Arabidopsis thaliana: one gene and its partner. The protein of the gene in region 1 interacts with the protein of each later gene in a pairwise test. Each region holds a gene or a part of one and is shown on either strand. Other genes may lie near its edges.

Evidence for each region.
Region 2: the proteins of SWI2 (region 1) and SHL1 interact in a two-hybrid assay, tested with the Arabidopsis thaliana proteins (one large-scale study listed by BioGRID).

Annotation. Positions count from the first base shown.
Region 1 is NC_003070.9:933,599-943,671, reverse strand, and holds SWI2 (switch 2), read right to left. Parts: upstream 5,847-10,073; 5' UTR 5,753-5,846; coding exon 5,363-5,752; intron 5,249-5,362; coding exon 5,142-5,248; intron 5,039-5,141; coding exon 3,872-5,038; intron 3,797-3,871; coding exon 3,670-3,796; intron 3,581-3,669; coding exon 3,305-3,580; intron 3,220-3,304; coding exon 2,994-3,219; intron 2,900-2,993; coding exon 2,604-2,899; 3' UTR 2,510-2,603; downstream 1-2,509. Other genes in the region: AT1G03760 (Prefoldin chaperone subunit family protein), read left to right, coding at 352-549, 633-692, 852-1,019, 1,105-1,485, 1,567-1,641, 1,724-1,757, 1,878-1,978, 2,100-2,135 and 2 more; AT1G03740 (Protein kinase superfamily protein), read right to left, coding at 6,880-7,017, 7,100-7,483, 7,575-7,790, 7,875-8,102, 8,191-8,508, 8,603-8,887, 8,964-9,617. UniProt on the Arabidopsis thaliana protein: May be involved in early DNA damage response. Probable chromatin remodeling factor.
Region 2 is NC_003075.7:18,215,625-18,224,889, forward strand, and holds SHL1 (PHD finger family protein / bromo-adjacent homology (BAH) domain-containing protein), read right to left. Parts: upstream 4,701-9,265; 5' UTR 4,511-4,700; coding exon 4,438-4,510; intron 4,356-4,437; coding exon 4,010-4,355; intron 3,781-4,009; coding exon 3,712-3,780; intron 3,130-3,711; coding exon 2,997-3,129; intron 2,740-2,996; coding exon 2,674-2,739; 3' UTR 2,005-2,673; downstream 1-2,004. Other genes in the region: RD19 (Papain family cysteine protease), read right to left, coding at 202-729, 1,011-1,130, 1,244-1,702; AT4G39110 (Malectin/receptor-like protein kinase family protein), read right to left, coding at 6,859-9,265. UniProt on the Arabidopsis thaliana protein: Chromatin remodeling factor that binds to methylated histone (e.g. H3K4me2/3) to prevent their acetylation (e.g. H3K9K14Ac), likely by recruiting histone deacetylase (HDAC) complexes, and thus regulate the transcription of target genes.

The DNA of each region.
Region 1 (10,073 bases):
GTGACACATGTGTGAAGTGTAAATAATATATCAACTATCAGGCATCATAATTCTTTAAATAAATCAAGATTGGTAAAAAATATTACAATAATTTAAACTTTTAACATTTGTTACTAAAAATATCAACGATAACACAATTTACAAACGTTAATAAATTTGTTACAGACAAGGCAATTTTTATTTTCGAAAACATAATAAAATACATTGGGCCATATTAAATCGGCCCATTAAGTTCACTATAACTTAGAACTTAGAAGCCTTTATTGCTTCCCTCTCAATTTCCATTTTTTTTTTGGTTCTTTTTTTCTTTCTGCAATCGGTCGTCGTCGTTGTGCTTAAACCCTTACCGGAATGGAGCCGCCGGCGAAAGGAACGGTGACGCCGTTAGGATTTTCAGAGGAGGATGTTCGAAAAGCAGCAAGTTACATGGAGGAGAAAATCGGAGAGAAGCGAGTAGAGATGAATCGTCTTCAACAGTACGTCGACGAAAACGATAATCTCATCAATCTCGTCAAGAAGCTTCCCGATCAGCTTCATCACAACGTTATGGTGAATTTTTAATCCTTTGACTTCCTCTCCTTATGATTCAATTTTGCTCCCGTTTAATGTAGTTGGTGCTTTTGTGTAAACAGGTTCCATTCGGTAAAATGGCTTTTTTCCCAGGTCGATTGATTCACACCAACGAGTGTTTGGTAAGTTTCATGATGATTATATGTTCTCTCTTCTCGATTTCAATGGCAGGATACATGTAATTTGATTCTAGTATCGTTTTGCTATGAGGTTTAAGAGTAAGCTATTGAGGTTAGTGTAAATTTCAAATTTAAAGGATTATGTTTTGTGATTTCATATAGGTGTTGTTGGGAGAGAATTACTATACTGATAGATCATCGAAACAAACTGTTGATTTCCTGAAGAGAAGAGACAAGACTTTACAGTCTCAAATTCATTCTCTTAAAGCTGAGATTGAAGATCTTCAAACGGAGGCTTCATTCTTCACTACAACTGCTTCTGAAGTAGCGGTAGGTTTTGCTGAAAGAGTGGATCGTGTGTTCCTTTTTCTTGATTCTGCATATGTATCTTAACCGGTGTTATCATTTTTTATAGGATGGACTTGTTGAGATAAGAGAAGAGTATGTAGAAGAAGATTCTTCTGCACCTGTTGTGATACATTCAAGTGAAAAAGAGCCTTGTAATCTTTCTGAAGGAGAGACTGAAGAAGGTGAACTTGAAGACGATGACTTTGCAAGAATCATGGCCAGGTTGAATGAACTTGAAATAGAGGAAGAACTGGAGGGTGAAGATGGGGATAGTAGAGGTGAAGATCCTGATTCTTCAGTAGAAAGTGTGGAACAGATCCAGCATGATTTGGTGAAAGGAAGTAGAGGTGAGACAGACCGTGGTAGGGTTGAATACGGGAAACAAGAAACTACCATATCTGTTCCTAACAAAGCTTCCGGTCATAGCTCTTCACCGAGGGTCTCAGAGGTATTTTCCAAGGAAATTTAACATCTGGGTTCATGTTTATGGTTAATGGGTTTTCCTAAAGTTTATTTACTTATAATCCAGCCAAGGGTCGAAGCCAAAATTATTCAAGTGTTACCAGAGACACATCCACACAAAGATCTAGATGATCCGCTGAATGTAAGAAAACCCCTTCACTTTGATGTTCTCTGATTTCATTAGCGTTTTACAGCTCCTTCTCAGATATTGCCTGTTATTGCAGCGTATCCGACCAATGGCACAATATCTTTCCAAAGGTTAGCGTTATGATCTAAAGCATTTCAGACATCAGAAAAGTGTCAAATTAATATATTCAACATTGAATCATCTTCCTGAAAACAATTCTCTAACCAACATCTATGTTCTTTTATTACCAGAAGGTCAATCACGTGGCGGAACCCCTCAGCAAAACGCTGAAACATGGAAAGACTTTCGAACGAATGCAAAAACCAATGTTTTAGGACCACAAAAGATTGAGGTATTTAGATCTATATTCGAAATCAAGCTAACTACCTTGCATTATGGACATGTTTTCTGCAACAAAACTTATCATTCACAAGCATCTCACAAATAATCATGCCAACTTTTTTTGGGTGCAGCCACAGAAGCCAGAGCCCGAGTTTGATTCTACCAAGGTTACATACACATCTCTTTCGGCCAAGCGTTAGCAAGTTGTATAGTTGCTCAGATAGATCTGATTTTCCTTTAAGCTCACTAAATTTCTGATCCAACTCGTGCAGGCTTTTACTGGATCAATCGTAGAGCATGCCCATATTCTAGAGACCAGCGCACACAGCCAAACGCAGGTACTTTTTAATCACTCGAACTACACAACACTCATAAATGCAGGAAACATGATTCTTATTACATTTTTTTTGTTTGTTATCTTGTTATATGTCAACAGTCTTCTACGTCTCAACCGTCTAAACCAGTGTCGAGATTCAGGGCGAAGAGAAGGTAGCCAGTCAGCTCTGTGTACAATTTTTTGTTGAGTTGCCTTTATGATATGTAAGAAGTAAGAACACATGCAAATGTGCGCAACCTTGTAAGCTTACTCTATATACAGTTAATTAACAAAATCTACATAAAAAAATCTGACATTGTTACTTGACTCTTTCTAAAAAGTCTTGAAGTAGCTTCTCTCTGTCAAATGGAGACGCTGACAATACCCATCTACTAAACTCCAATATCTCCATGCCTTTAAACTCGGCTAACATCTTGTACTTCTCTCGTTTTTGTTCCCTATTTGAAGAAGACATATCCTCCTCTTCACTACAACCTTTTCTCTTCTTTTTCTTTCGATCCGCACTGTTACCGTCTCCATTTAACCTCTGAGATGTTGATGTTGTTGTCTCTCCAATGTTGATGATGTCTTCATTTCGATGTGCATACACAATGCCTATATAAAGAGTCACACAAGCCCGACCAAATATTGTAAAGACTTAAGAAAATGTAGTCAAGGATAGATGAGCACAGATCAGTCTTATTCTTACCCAAGTCCTTAAGGATAGGTTTCTCCATTTCGGGTTTGTAAGAGCACATGACCTCTTCTTCTTTTTCATCTTCTGAAACACCTGTCTCAAGCAGTGATCTCTTCTTATTCTCATCGATGTTACTATCCCTATGCAACTCAACAATATCGCTAGTGAAGAGCTTATCAGAGAGATCACGGAACAGATTTGAAATCCCGAATAGCTCGCCTTGAAACTCTTTACAGTCCTGATCACAAGACACCAAAACATTAGAATAGCGAACAATCTCTTTAATAAGGCTAATAAATTAAAGACTGTATATTTCTACATACCTGGACGCCTTCAAAGTACCTTGTCTCCATTTTCCCTGCAACCGCAATGTTTGAGAGCTGTTGTTTGTATACTTGTCTTGTATAAACTAGTTCCTCAAGGGAACCAGCACTCAACAAACGAAAAACCACCACATGACGTTTCTGTCCATACCGAAATGATCTATCTTGCGCTTGCAAGTCATGAGACGGGTTCCAATTTGGGTCAAATATAACCACACGGTTCGCGCTCACAAGGTTTAGTCCCAACCCACCAGCTTTAGTTGATATCAGAAAAACCTGACACATAAAAGCTCATTTAATCATCAGATCAGAAGTAGGTAAGAAGAAACATGATCTCTATCGAAAAGGGTTCGGTTAATAAAAACCTGTTTGCTAGGACTCGCATTGAAATCATCCACAAGAGACTGTCGCAGATTAGTTGGAGTAGAACCATCAAGTCTAGCAAAGCTATAACCTTTTCTAATTAGAAACTTTTCCAGTATGTCCAGCATCCTGTAATTTAATGGATCAAAAGCTTGCAACGACAAATATTCTCCTACATTCATCAAACTAAATCCAAAAACTAACCTGACAGAGTAACTGAATAGAAGTATCTTATCACCCTTTGAAATCCAAGAAGCCATCAACTTCTCCAAAGCTCTCATTTTCCCACAATGTTTAACATCACTAAGGTCCATGAAGCTCTTGCTTGCAGATATTCCGCCTAATAGATCAATATCTGTCCCAAACACTGTAGATACAAACTCTGCGTCCTTCTTCTGTTTCTCTGGCTCATCTTTTGGGTTTGGTTTAATAAGCTCCAGATGATTGCTTATCTGCTGAAGTTTCATAAGGCATGGAAGCACCAAGCAGAAAGGACAAGAATCACAACCATCGTGGTTGTCTCGATGAAGGTAACTCCAGATGGTTCCATCAGGAACAATCCTTCTGCAGCACTCTGATTGCTTAAGCGGGCTTCCACAAGCGCATGGATTGTCCTTATTCACAAGGCACTGAATTTCTGGGAGTTGAATCATTCTTTGATAAACCCGTCTCTGCAATTGACTCATTTGACAAAAGACTACATTATCTTCTTTCCCCATCATGAGATGCCCAATGGTTTCCTCCTTTGTCCTCCTCAACATATACTTACGGAGAAGACTGCCCAAATGCTGTTTCCTCTTATCTGCAATCTGGACAAATCTTTCCGGAGCAGTAGCTCTCTGCCCTAGCTTAAGTGGTTCATCATAGAAGTCTCGGAAATGTTCACGAGTGCCTAGTGATCCCGGTGCTACCCACTCAAAAAGATTGAATAGCTCACTGATCTTGTTCTGCATCACTGTACCCGTGAGACCAATCCTCTTCTTAGTCTTGATCTCAAGGCATGCTTCATAAAGTTTCGATTTTTCATTCTTTAACCGGTGTGCCTCATCAGCAATCACTATCTCCCAATTAATCCCGGACAAAACGGGGCCTTGGATTCGAAACGTATCAAAGCTGGTTACAAGTACCTCAACACCGCGTGCCTTGAGTTTCTCCAGAATCATATCTCTGTTTGATCCGTGGTACACCGAAACCTTGAAGAAGCTTGCCCATCGAGAAAACTCACTCTCCCAGTTGTGAATAATCGAAGATGGACAGATTATTAGTACAGGACCCTTATCAGACTCTAAAAGACATGACTCACCAGCGTCACCGTCTTTTCCATACACTGCAGCAAGAAATGCAATTGTCTGAATGGTCTTGCCTAACCCCCTGAGTCAATACTTATTATCAGAGTTCCATTATCACCCAAACATAAACTATTACAGCTACAGATTCAAATGCACAAGAACATTCTCATGTAAGAAGAACTCACATGTCATCGCCAAGAATGCCACCATGGTTGTTTTTATAGAGATTATACATAAACTTCACTCCCTCTCGCTGATGTTCAAGCAATCTACAGTTGATAGAAGCCGGTACCTACAACAAAATCATAAGGCAAATTCAAATAATTTCCAGAATTTGAGAAGAACCATCAACACTTGAGTTCCATTAAACATGAGCAAAAGTTAAAGACTTTGGTAAGAAAATAACATGTATGATCGGAATCTCTCCAATTGATGACAGCATAAGTGGTTCATAAGGACCGGAATAGTCAAATTCAGCCCGGCTTAACCCGGGTCTCCCGAATTCAATTGATCTCTCATCGTCTTCATCTACTTCTTCTTCGTCGAACTTGATGTTTCTTTTGTGATCATCTTCGTTATGATCAAAATCTTCGACTTGGGTTTTTGAGATTTTAGATTCGTGCTTTGAGGGTAAAAAGTAAGAATCATCGAGACGCAGAAGCTGCTGCGAGAGCGACGATTTGGGAGGTTTTCTCGACGGTTCCAATTCTTGTGTGGATGAAACTCGCAACGATGATGATGACGGAAAACTACCACAGGGCTTCAATGTCTCTTTGAAAGTGTGTAACAACGACATCGCTAATCGATCGCGTTGCGAGAGCAAAGGAAAAAGACTTGCTTTTTTCGAGAAACTGAAATAAAGTCGTAATATTTAGCAATTTGAAAACTTACTTGCTGTTATTCTAATTTGAAGAAAATAAGAGGCTAGAAAGGGAAATACATTATACATGTGCAGTTTTAATGGGCCAAATACGGATAGAAACGAAGCCCAAACTGTACTTGTGGCAGTAATAATGGGCCGAGTTCGAATAGCATCCAAGAGAAGCCCAAATATTATTTGTTTCCAAACATGCTTTTAGGTTTAGGGTTTCTCGTGCATCTCTTATATATAGCAATCTCCTTCTTGATAACGCCGAGAAAAGTCACCATTTGTCGATTCAACCCAATCTTGGTTTTTGGTTTTTCTTTAATGTTTTGGTGAATTATTTGATTTTCAAGAGGTTTTGTGTAGAATATGATGAAAGTTGTATATCGGTGATGGTCTTTTGATTCATATGATCGACAAAAATTTCAACTCGCTACGTTCTTTCTGATTCTTACAAAAGTTGGATTTTTTATATTTTTGTTTGACGGTTTTGGAGAATTCTCTCGACGTTTTTGTTTAAATTGGATTTGTATCTTTTGGTATTGGAAAAATAGTAATGCTGGAGAAATGATGAGAAATCAGATAAATCTTAGGACACCTTCTGACACAGATTCTGTGTATGAGAATGACATCATATTCTGATCTTCAGTTAAATTTCTTTTTTCGTTTCAAAAACAAGTTTTTCCGTTCTGTTTGTAATTGAATTTTATGGTTTTGAAGATAGGTTACCTTAATTCTCGGTTTATTAAGTGGATAATTCAATTTGAATCTACGGATGTTCTTAAGCTGCAAAGAGAGATTGTGATTCTGAGGCAACCAAATATTACAATTAAACCTTATAATTACAACGGAACAACAATCAATTTTAGAAGGAATAATGAATTCAAAGGGATTTTGTATATATGTACACACAGCGAACTCTATACGAACAGTAGTGGTTTATGCCTTTAAGCCGATCACATCAACTCAATTTATGAAACCAATAGATTATAGTGACAAATCTGACTCAACTGATTCGGCTTTTTAGAACGCTCAATAATTTGGCTCTTCCAATGATTTCAGCCTTGTGGTGTCTTGAGTGCCTGTCTATTGAATTCCTGAAGCTGTCTGTCATGTTCTTCAAGCATCTGGTCCACTCTGCTTGGCTGAGCCAACAATGGTCCTGACATGTAAATCTTGCTATCACTAGGATTATACTGAAACACAACAATGAATGTTAGTAAAAGAAAACAGCTGCTCTGATACGAGAAAATAAAAAAACAGAGATCATTAACTAACCCAAGATGGGTCAATTGGTGCTGTCATATGTCTACTATCCATAGTATCAGCTCTATTGTATGCTCGCCGATCTCTTCTTCTTTGGTTCGTGACTGGTTGATCTTGCCGTTCTAATAATGTTTTGGAGGAGACTGAGCCTGATAACATCTTCGGGTTTACTCTAGCTGGAGGGTATCTAGGAAGTGCATTCTCCTTCACATGCATTGTTGACTTAGCCATGTTCCGGTTGCTCATCAATGGACCTGAGTGTGAAATTCTCACACCAGTTTGATTGTTTCTGTTGTGCTGCATATTTTGATAATCAGGAACTGGTCCATGAGGAGTCCTCTCCTCCTTAAACGACTTGAAACTATCGTTCCTACTCCTCAAATCTTTATATTGTTTCTGCATTTGCCAAAAGAGTGATTTGCTTTACAGTTAGTTACCTCCACGGTCATTGTGACCATAAAAGCTAGGACCTTTTACAGTTACTTACCTCCATTGTCATTGACAGAGAGTTATTTGCTTTGACCGGTGGTACAAATTTTCTCTCGTGTGATATTCTCGTCATAGAGTCTTGTCTTTCTTGTTTCTCCGCCCTCATAGGTTGTTGCCTTTTCGCTTCATCACGCATTTTCGCATCAATCTCTTTACTAGGAGGATATTTTGGTAAGTTCGATGGATCGCAAGCAAACGGCTTGGTTTTGAAGTACTGACAAAAGAACAGAGTTTTGTCACTAATGCTTCCATGATCTCAGTAAACCAAGAACATAGTAAAACATCATGAACCAGTTACCTCACTCTCAAGGGCACGATCTGCAGAGCTCCGGTGATCAGGATCTATGGAGAGTAAAGTCTCTAAAAGTGAAAGAACACTTGCAGGAAAGTCCTTAAACATCTCTGATACTTTCCGCCTATAAGGAATCGCGGTTTTGAATCCAGCTGAAGATGGTAACTTCTGTTTTCTCCAGTAATTTTCTGTTGGTGAACCGCAAAGCTTGAAGATTTTATGCAATTGTTCTACCTAGAAAGATTAAGGGCTACATTTGAGTTGAAGCAAACAAGATGCAACCTGAATTTGGAGGAAATGAAATCTACGAGAATTTGCATACCTCGGTTTTTCCAGGGAGGATCGGTTTACCGGCATATAATTCACCTAAGATGCAACCTGTGCTCCATAAATCAACCCCAACACCGTAATGAGAGGCTCCAAGCAAAAGTTCTGGTGGCCGGTACCAAAGAGTGACAACATGGCTAGTCAATGAAACACTTTTTGCAGGGTCGAAAAAAGTTGCTAACCCAAAATCTGCTATCTTCAAGACTCCCTTACTGTCAATTAGTAGGTTTGAGCCTTTTATATCACGGTGAAGAACGCCACGGCTGTGACAATGTTCAAGCCCACTTAGAAGTTGTCGCATGTAACATTTAACCTAAACAACAGAAACATAAAAGAAACGGATTTTGAAGCGGAAAGAAAAATCTATGCTTTTGACATTAGGGTAGCTCAACATTTATGTGCAGTACCTGAGGCTCTGTAAACTTGACACCAGGTAGTGAAGAAAGTCCTAAGAGATCATGATCCATGTACTCAAAAACTAAGTAAAGGGACGATGAGACAGGGGCAGTGATCAATCCTTCCAATTTCAGGACATTAGGATGATCAAGCCGTCGCATTACTATGATCTCTCTTGCCATAAACTTAACACTTTCCATATCGTTAAGATCAAACCGGACTTTTTTTAGCGCAACAATCTTGTTATGAAGAAGATCGCGAGCTCTGTATACGCTGCTATATGTTCCTTGGCCAATCTGCATCCATAAGAAAGAAGGTTCTATTAAACAGAAACAGGATCTGGACCAAAGAGTGGTAACAAAAGAAACTTACTTTCTCCAGCTTTTCAAAAGTATTTGCTCGTCGTGGAGCCCAATCCACTAGTGACTCACCAGCAACAGAGACCAGCCAAGACGGCCATCCTGCTGCCACTTGCTTCCGCTCTGCATCCTTTGGACTAACAATGCTTGAACCCCTCTTCAGTTCCCGATGAACCACTCGAACCGAAGCTTCAACCTCAGGTTTCTCTACTCCCTTCTCTATCTGATGATGCTCAGAAAACATGCTAGAACTCAACTTTTCAGATTCAATCAACCGAACTTTGGAATCTTTGCTATTCCATCTATCTAGCTTGGCCTTAACAACCTTTGGATCAATATCCAAGTCCGAGTCTACAACAGCACTAGAGGCCCTTCTCAATTCCTGATCATGCACAACTCTATCCATATGAGCAACTGTCGCAGGATTCTCTAATATCTTCCCAATCTGATGATCATGACACCTACTTGTACTAAACATTTCGGATTCAATCAACCTAACTTTAGCATCTCCACTGTTACTCAATCTATCAAACCCATCTTCCGGTTGAATCCAATCATCAATCCTCCTCGACGAATCAATCCGAGAGGAACGTTTCTCCTCTGATGACTCTTTCAGTGTTGTTGACTTTCTTCTAAAAGGCCTATGCCTAGAATTCACACAACCCATTCGTATGCTCTCTAGAACATGAATCTACACACATAACCAATCTACAGAAAAACTTAACCTTTATTATTCACAACCCAATCCATTCACTTCCCTAAAATCTAAACCCTAATTTCAATCCACTCAGAACAAACACACAACTTCAACGGCTCAGCGGGAAATACCCAATTCACGAAAACCAACAAGATCGTATTTTTGAATTCTTCTTCTTCTTCGGAAGACCACACACAGTACACTGTGAAATCCCCAGAAAGAGTGATTCGAACCGGAAAAATCAAAACTTTGGCCGGAATTGAGTGAAGGAATGGAGAGAAATTGATGAAGATTGACTTTAGGCAAAGCGTTGAATAGAATCAAAGAGGGTTGCGGAGAGAATATGTAAGGAAAGGGGAGATTTTTATTTGTTAGTTGTAGCAGATTTGACTAATTAAACGATTACGTAGAGTGAGTCACTATCAT
Region 2 (9,265 bases), on another chromosome or scaffold:
CTCAATTTAACTTTCATATATTGGGCCATAAACTGATACTTGTTAAAGTGGGCTCATTGCTAATGAGCATTGTACGGTTTTGCTCAATAGAACGCATTTTATTTACAAGCAAGAAGCAGAGATAAATAGAGAGAGTCAGCAGCGCAAAGAGAGCTCGCTCATACAAATCACCAAAGTAATTAAAACTTATTGACGAGATGCTTAATGGGCGGTGGTTGAGACGGTGGCTGCAACAGTGGAGACCATACTGTCAACACCACAAATGTTACGGCCTTTGCAGATTTTGTAGAAACCATTTTCACCCCAAGTCTCTCCCCACGAGTTCTTGATGATCCAGTAAGGCTTCTCCTTGAACCTAGCCGGAGCGTAACCTGCCGCTCCATAGCCAACCAATAAGACACCGTGGTTGAGCCTCCTGGTGCATATGTAAGGGCATGAGACTCCTCCAATGTAAGTCTGCATATAGCCAGCGTTGATGGCTACAGCAAGAGGTCCGTTCTTGACAAGGTTTGCAGCAATCTGTTCTTCATCAATGGAGATAACACTGAAGTTGGAGACAGAGGCAACGATCTTGGACTTGTCTAGCTTGCAGGTCTTGCCGTCCTTTCCGGTGTAAGGATAGTCTTCTTCTTTCATGAGCCCTCCGGTTTTGAGGGTGTATTCAAAAGCGCTGTTCATTAGCCCACCATTGCAACCAGAGTCGCAGGAATCTGCCTCCTCGGGATCACACTGCATAAGGAGATGATAGCAACAATTATCAGATTAGTTTCACAGAGATCATGTTAACCATTATGGTCATATTATGAATCTTCCCTAGGCACTGACGAGAAACAAGATCATTAAAAGTAAGCAACCTGAACTAAGTAGTGAGTTTTATCATCTCAACATATCCGGAGAGAACTGTGAATATCTAGGATAACATATTGATTGATAAGTGATCAAACATCAACACAGTCATGTTCAGTGTCCTTCAAACTCATCCCAAGACTCAAGAGAAAGAAAAGACAAACCTCGTGATCACAGTCGACGAGCTGTTGTTCGCTGAGGCTGACGAGTTTGCCGGTAGCGAGGAAGTTAGCACCTTCCAAAGCTCCAGTGGCGCTGAAACTCCAGCAAGAGCCGCAAGATCCCTAATTTGTACACCAGGATTAGACCAAATCAGCACAAAGAAACGAATTGAAGTTTGATCCAGAGTCAACGAATTCGATAAGACATCAATTTGCGACATCATCGAGTAAAATACCTGATTTTTGACGGGAGTAACGGCGCCATGATCTCTCCAATCAAAATCCTCAGGGAGATTTTCGGTAGGGAGAATCGGAGCCTTGTTGGCATCTTTAGGAAGCTTAAAGCCACTTCTAACCCCCAAGTGCTTCTTACGGAACTCAGACCGAGTCAGATCTGAGAACTGCGTAACACCATGAGTCGCCGACGGATCCAACTTCTGGTGACGCCTCGCTCGCCTGAGATTCGCTTTGAAAACCGAGAATCTATAGTCATGCTCCTCGTTGGAAGCGTAGACCTTCCCGAACTTCCGCTTGAAGAGAGAAAAGTGATCCTCTGAGGTCAAAACCTGAGGCTCGGCTCCACCAACCACCTGACGGATCACGAGATCATCGCCGTCGTTGACATCAGACGACGAAACCGAGACGATAAAGAAAGACAAAACGAAAACGGAGAAATAAAGCTTAAGACGATCCATTTGATTTGCAATTAGATTGAAGGAAGCAGAGAAGGATTAATATAGATAGAACCCTCAGTAGATTATCACACGCAACGTGAATGTATAGGTGTATGTATAGGTCTCTGCTACACGTCTTTTTCCCTTTGGAGATTAGCTTTCGGTTTCTTTTAAGATAATTTTAAAAGATATTGTTGTCATCATTATTATAGTCGGAGAAAAAATCGGAAGATATTTATGGTATTTATTATTATTTTAAGATGCCTTATCCAAGGGGAAAGGAGAGAGTTAACCAATGATGTAGAACCACGTGTTAATCATTGAATGGGTATGGAGTAATGGAATGGGATAGGTTCAACTTGTTGTTAGCAGTGCCGTGTTGTCTTGGATAATATTAATTCTCTCTTTTCTAAAAACTTTAAAAAATAGTTCTATCTTCCTCTTTTTCTGAGACAAATGTAGAAGCTCATGATCGGTAGTTGCCATGTTTCTCTTCTCTGATTCATTTATTTATGTTCCCAGTGTACTAAAAATAATTTGTAATGTAATTTTATTGATTTTTAGTGTACCTCCTGGTTTTTGGCTGTACTTTGAACCAAATTATGAAGACACGATGATCAAATATGTCTCTTTGAATATGCGTTTTAGAATTAATAAAGAATGAAAAACTAATAAAGAATGAAGGGTTTCTAGAGTTCACAATGAAAACAAACAAATAAGGAACCAACACTCTCTTTGTTTGTTTGTTTGTTTTGTTTTCTTATTATAAACAAACCATTTTACCCAAATTTTATATGTGACAACTAAAGGAGATGAGAAACCACCATACGCTATACATATAAATTATACAACAATCAAGCCAACAAACCTAAACCCTCATTTTTTAAGAAAGAAAAAACTAGAGAGGGAAAGAAAACAAAACCACCTTTGTAGATTACACGATTGATACTCAGACTCACCAACCAGATATCTATAGCCTTTACAAGTTTATGTTAACCTGGTCGCTTAGTGTGTTTGTTCTTCGATTTAGTTACCTCCAGGCTGCGCTTTCCATTCACCTGTTAGTTAGGACAAAACATTTCACAAGGTTGTCTTTGACCTTAATGACACATATACTTTGGGTTTATGTGTTTATTCTGCCTTAAGTTGGTATATTTTATCAGTCCAAGAGCTTACAATTGTTGGCAAGGCTAGCTTTATATGTGGAACGAACGGTCAACTTAAATACCTTAAATTTATTCAAGCCTATTTGCAACGGGTTTGACCATCCCTCAAAAACTAAAGATATTTTCTGAAATGAGAAATAGAGAAATACCTTAGCATCTCTGTTATTGGAAGTTGAATTAGAGTTGTGCAAATTCTGCTGTTGTGGGGAACACTCTTCGCAGTAGAAGTTATCTGGCTTTTTAGCTTCCTCTATTGTTGTTCCTATACAAGAAGGATGAAACCTGAGCCAATGTTAGTTTGCTGTAACATCAAAGGCAACTGACAAAGACATTCGAAACAAAAAACCTTAATCCTCTCTTTACAAAAAAAAAAGTAAAAAGATTAAGCTTAACACTTAACAGTTCCAACTTCCAAGATCAAACGATCACTATTTGTTTCAGTATGACTTCATTTACGTTACTTGTGTCATATAGCAAGCTAACATGGGTGAAAGACCCAAGGCACAAACTAAGAAGCTGCAGAAAAACCCAAACCTTAACAGCGACTCAATCAGTAACGTGTAAGAAAATTTGAAAATCCGCAACATATACATTAGAATGTTAATCACAGATATTACAAACGTTCAGACTAGAGTATCAGCTTATGTTCCTATTCATCTGCAGTTTCCACAATATCAGATAAGACAAAACATGAACATGAGTAAGGAAGAGCATCACCGAAGTAAAGCATGACAAAAGCATTCATCTCAAGCAACCTCAATAGCATATCAACTAGGACCTCATGGATACACGAAAAACATACGAGCAATTCCAGATTGTGACTCAAGAAGATTAAAACAGAGTTTCAAATAAGTGAACACTTACCACTCAGAACACTCCTCGCATTGCACCATCAAGTCATCTGGGTTATACGGCATCTCACACTTGCAGAACCTGCAAACAGAAAAAATCAATTTAAACTCAATTGATTACTTCTCTTTGCAAAAACAACTTCATGAAACCAATTTAGATGACAAATCAATGAATTATTAACAATCAATGCCTACACTAAAGCAACACAATCTAATTTCCAAAAAAGCCTCAATTCAACCGATAATAGTTCCATCATTCAATCAGTATTTTCTTCTCGAATAAAGTAACAGAGAGTCGTAGGAACACATACACGGTGACTCTGTCAGGATCAAACGCGCCGGTAGTGGAATTGTACTCGAAACGACAGAAGAAGTCGTCGTTTCCAACAGAGTCAAGTTTGGTGTAGCTACTGAAACTGTGAACCTTACACTTTCCTTCAATCGTATCGGCGCTTTGAAAATCGAAGTGGTCAGAGAGAAAAACCTCCTTGGCTCCATGGAATTGTCTCCTCCCTCCGATAGATTCCTCAGGGCGATAATACCACCTCACACGAACTTTCGCGTGCGATCCACGCGCGTCCGTCTCGATCGCCTCTACCCTCGCTACGTACGACGGTTTTCCAGGCTCCGACGACCGCATCAACACAGCATCTCCCTCTTTTTAACCACAAAACAACATCGAACGATTCACTTTCAATATCCACGAATTTCAAATTGAGGATGAACAAGTCAGACGTACCTTGAATACTCTTGTTGATGTGTTTGAGTTTATAGGACTTGAGCTGCTTCCTTGGAGCTTTTTGCTTGGGCATCTGAAACTGAAAGGTGAGTAATGGACGATGATGAAGCTCAAGGTTTTTGCGAACAGTTTTTCTCAATGAATACAGTCAAGAATCATCAATCGCATGTCTCGCGGAGTACGGTAAGAACAAGTCATGAGGATCTCAGGAGCGTATGATTGGGTGTACAATGGCAGGATCGTGAATATAGAGGAAAGAAAGGGAGAAAATGGGTAAATAGAATGTCAGATAGCCAATTGACCACGTCAGCTTTTAAGTGGAAGCGCGTGTGTGATACGCGCCTCTAGGCCGCTCCCTTTTGTCGTGAATCATGTAAAATTAGCCACGTAAGCAATTACTCATTATGACTTGTCCTGACTTTGTCTTTGTGTGTTGCATGTTTTCAGATAAATAGGAAATGCTAAGGAATATTTTAAGAACCTTTCAATTCTATATTTATTCACTTATTATTCAATTCTATGCGTACGTATGATTACATTCGAAAGGATTTCCAACATTTTTGTCCCAATAAGCAAATTGGAACAAACACATCCAAATCTACATAATTTGCGCAAGAAAAAAAGATAACCACAAAAAAAAGACATAAAAACAGTAAAGAAAATCAAAAATTGGATATGAATGACGCCCCCACACACTGAACTGAAGTTTGTGTTTTCAGTGTTGGGTTGAGAATAAAAACCAAAGGAGCTACTAAATAAATTGAGAAAGTGTAAGCTTCTTTTTTCCTAAGCAACACAAGGTGAGGAACAGTGGGTGCTACTAGAGACCCTTCGACAAGGGTAGTTTGAGAAATTCACATTGCTGTTAATAGCTGCAGAAAATGAAGATGAAGATGATTGCTTGTTCTTCTTCTTCCTCTTCTTGTAAGCCTCATCATCATCATCGTCATCAAAAGTTTGGGTTGGTTTCTTCAGATCCTCAAGGCATTTTACATCTGAGATACATATGAATGATCTCGCTTTTCCTGAATAGTACCTTGATAATCCTCTCCTATTTTACAACCATTCACAAAATCCAAAATTAGATAGTAATCCGGATTTCCATAACTTAAACAAACAATCATAATCAATGAAATCCTTTTTCAGGATTTTACTTTTTGGGAAGGTTGTTTCTTAGCTCTCCCATATCAAAAGCCAACCCACTTATGTTTTCCATGATAATAGATATAAGCGAGGTAACAAAAACAAAATAAAACAATAATTTGGGTCTCTTTGGCTTTTGTGGGAAAATTTAAGCTATTCATTTCTATATATACACATAAGAAGAGAAAAGGAAAGAGAACTCATTTGCTTAATTGAAGGGAATGGTTTCTATTTCTGGGTTTATGTTTTATTTTACTTTCATGGTTCTCTTACTTTTTGCAGAATCTGTGACTGACCCTAATCTTTTCTCACCTATACTTCCTCTCCTACAAACACTTGTGAAGAGTTTGATATCCAAACATTTACGATTGTGTATGTTTACATATACACAATATTGCAAGGTTTCTACAATGATTAGATGGAAAAATTAATGGCTTTCCCTGATTAGAACCAAACTAACCCATCTAAAGAAGGAAATGGTGTCTATGATTATTAACTAACAGAGGTCGTAAACCAAACACTAAAATTCCATTCAATGAATCAAAGCTTGAATCCAATATATAACAACACACAAACCATTGAGTTCCTTTTCCTTAATATTACTAATTCAGGTTCAAATGTGACAGCTTTAACTAGAGTTTACACTAGACAACAAAGTACGAGAATAGGTTACCCTTTTTTTCCAAAGACTATGGGAGAACGAACACATTATTCCCCAGTTAATGTTTAGGTACTTTCTTAGAGAAGAGATTCATTTGCAAAACCAGATGATAAAAATTTTTTTACTCTGAAACAGATCTTTTCTGGTCTACTCTGAAACAGATGCTCAGAGTCCAGACTGTAAAACCAACTTTCTTAGAATACAAAAAGAGAACTTTTTGTTTCCTGTGTGTACAAAATGATGTAAATTTCAAGTAAGATTCACACACACTTATGTTTCAATGTGAATTTGTATTTGTAAGCTAATATTAACAACTACAATGAAGGAGGATAAGTAAAGTAAATGCAGCAGAGCATTTAGAAGTACACATACATACATATACATATCCACCCACAAAATTACACTTCATACAAAAAATATATAAATTTTATAAAATACACCAAAATATAGAAATATCACACACATCTCCCCGACCACCACCAAAAAAACATACAAAGAAACAAATATATCACCTTAAAAAGTCAAGTTTTTTCTATTGCAATTACTGTTTATAACGACAAATTCGGTTTGGTGCATTCTTTATGTCCTTTTTTAATTATTTATCTGTTAGTTTGTTTTTATCTTCCGTTAAGGTTAGCAAACTGAGTAAACATGGCTGTTCCAGAGTGTTCATCCACGGCCGTGCCACTGTTCTCTTCCACCTTAGCAGGAACCGGAACAGTAGCCGCTTCGTTGGTGGTGACTGAGGGAGTGATCGGAGATGGATCAGACACAGGCACCGAGCCAGGTGTCACCACATCAGGCTTAGCGTTCTCGGTCTCTTCTGCTTTGCCCTGAGTGAATGCCTCTTGAAGCTGAAGAGCATACTCCAAGTTCCACAGAACATCTCCCATTGTTGGCCTATCGACACCGTAGTCTTCTAAACACTTCTCTGCAGCTTCAGCAAACTTCTTCATCGATTCAGGATTAATCGTTCCAGCCAAATGAGGATCAATGATCTTTTCAAGAAGTCCTTTTCGTTTCCATTGCATCGCCCATTCAGCTAAGTTAACCTGCTCTCTTGGTAGCTGAGGATTGATGGCTGGTCTTGCGCACAGAGCTTCTAGAAGAACGACACCAAAGGAATAAACATCGGATTTGTCGGTAAGTTGTTGTCTTCTAAAGTACTCCGGGTCTAAGTACCCGAAACTTCCTTTCACGGCCGTGCTGACATGGTTTTGTCCAAAAGCTACATCTTTAGAAAGACCAAAGTCAGCGACTTTTGCAACTAAAGCTTCATCGAGAAGAATGTTGGTGGATTTGACATCACGGTGGATAATCCCCTGAGCTGTTCCTGTGTGTAAGTAGTGAAGCCCACGTGCAGATCCGATACATATCTCGAGTCTTTGTTTCCAGGTTAGAGGAGCAAGGTTCTTTCCATACAAGTGGTCCCTGAATGGACCATTGGACATGAACTCATAGACTAAGATCATCTCAGAGTTCTCGTCACAGTAACCAATCAAGGAGACCAAGTGTCTGTGTCTGAGCTTAGAAAGCATCTGGATCTCTGTCTGAAACTCAGTGATTCCTTGTTCAGACTGTGGATTACCTCTTTTGACAGCGACTTTGGTTCCATCGTCGAGGGTTCCAATGTAGACGTTACCGAATCCTCCAACACCGATAATCTGGGATGCTTCAAAGTTCTTTGTGGCTTCTTGAAGCTCTGAAAGGGAGAAATAGCGGCCGAGACCAAGTGTTGAGTTGTAGAAGTTGGATTTCTGAGAACCACCTTTGCTTGTCATGAAAGTGCTATCACCAGCATGTATTGGTAGCAACCAAGAGGAGAAACTATTTCTCTTCTGCCAATCTTGTGGCCTCTTCTTCCACTTGTAAACCATGGCTCCCAGACCAATGAAAGCTCCAAACATCATCACAAACCCCGCGGTTGCTACCATACCATGCTTCCCCATGCCAGTGGTTCTACCATCCACTCCAAACTCTCCATCAAGGCTGTTCACGGAATTGCTCATCTTCAGAACCTCAACACCGTTCAAGATCGCGTTTTTGGTCCCTGTATCTTCTCCCATGGGACCAATCTGGACTTGGAGCTCAGGGCCCATAAGTGTTGCGTTCACAACGATGTCTTTGTAGTAAGGAGCAGCTAGATTCCCAGCGACAGTGGACAAATCCAGTCCAGAAATGGCAGTTTTCCCGTTAATGTACACATTAAAGTACAGGTCATTGAGAGACTTGCTAACGATATCACAGAAATGAAGCCGGATAAGGTAGTTAAACGATGGGTTGGAGGGGAAATTCCAGGAGACGTTAAAATTAGGGTCTATGGTGAGAGAATTAGCCATTTCTACAGCTGTTGCATAAACCGTCTGTGGAGCAATCAAAGGTGTAACTTCCGGTGGGTACTTGATTGCCGAAGGGGTTGTTTTAACGTCCTTTGCCAAGTTCTCATCTTTCAAGAATTCCTTATCGGGTATCCAGGTTCTTCCTAATGTATCATTCTGAGGCATGATCAAGGGACCGCCGACATTGACTCTATAAACAGACTGGTAAGCGTAGTCAGACAGACCCGAGAACCCAATGACAGGGAAAAGGGCAGTGCCAGAATCAGAGATCAGTTCGTCTGGAGCTGACACGACTTCGATAGCGTTGATGAACGCTGCAGAGCTTTTCATAGGTCTGAACCTGAGGGCGAATTGAGCATCTGTCATGTTGACGAGATACTCCTTCTGAACAGCAGCTTGACTATCATTGTTGTTGTTACTTATTTTGAAGTTATGAAGCAGCACATATTTCTCCGTTAAAACGGAAAAGGTTGCTTGTTGGAGATCGAACTTGTCATTAGGGAAGGCCAAGAAATGCAGGCGAACCCAATGCCAACCAGGTCGAGTCAAATGGAATTTGTAGGTGGCTTCCTCACGGAAGATCCTTGCAGTTAGGTAGATAGGAGATGCGACCTTGTCTGAAGGCGGGGCTGAGACCTGAATATCTTCCTTGGCTTCTATGTATTGGATTGTTTCTTGGTCACTC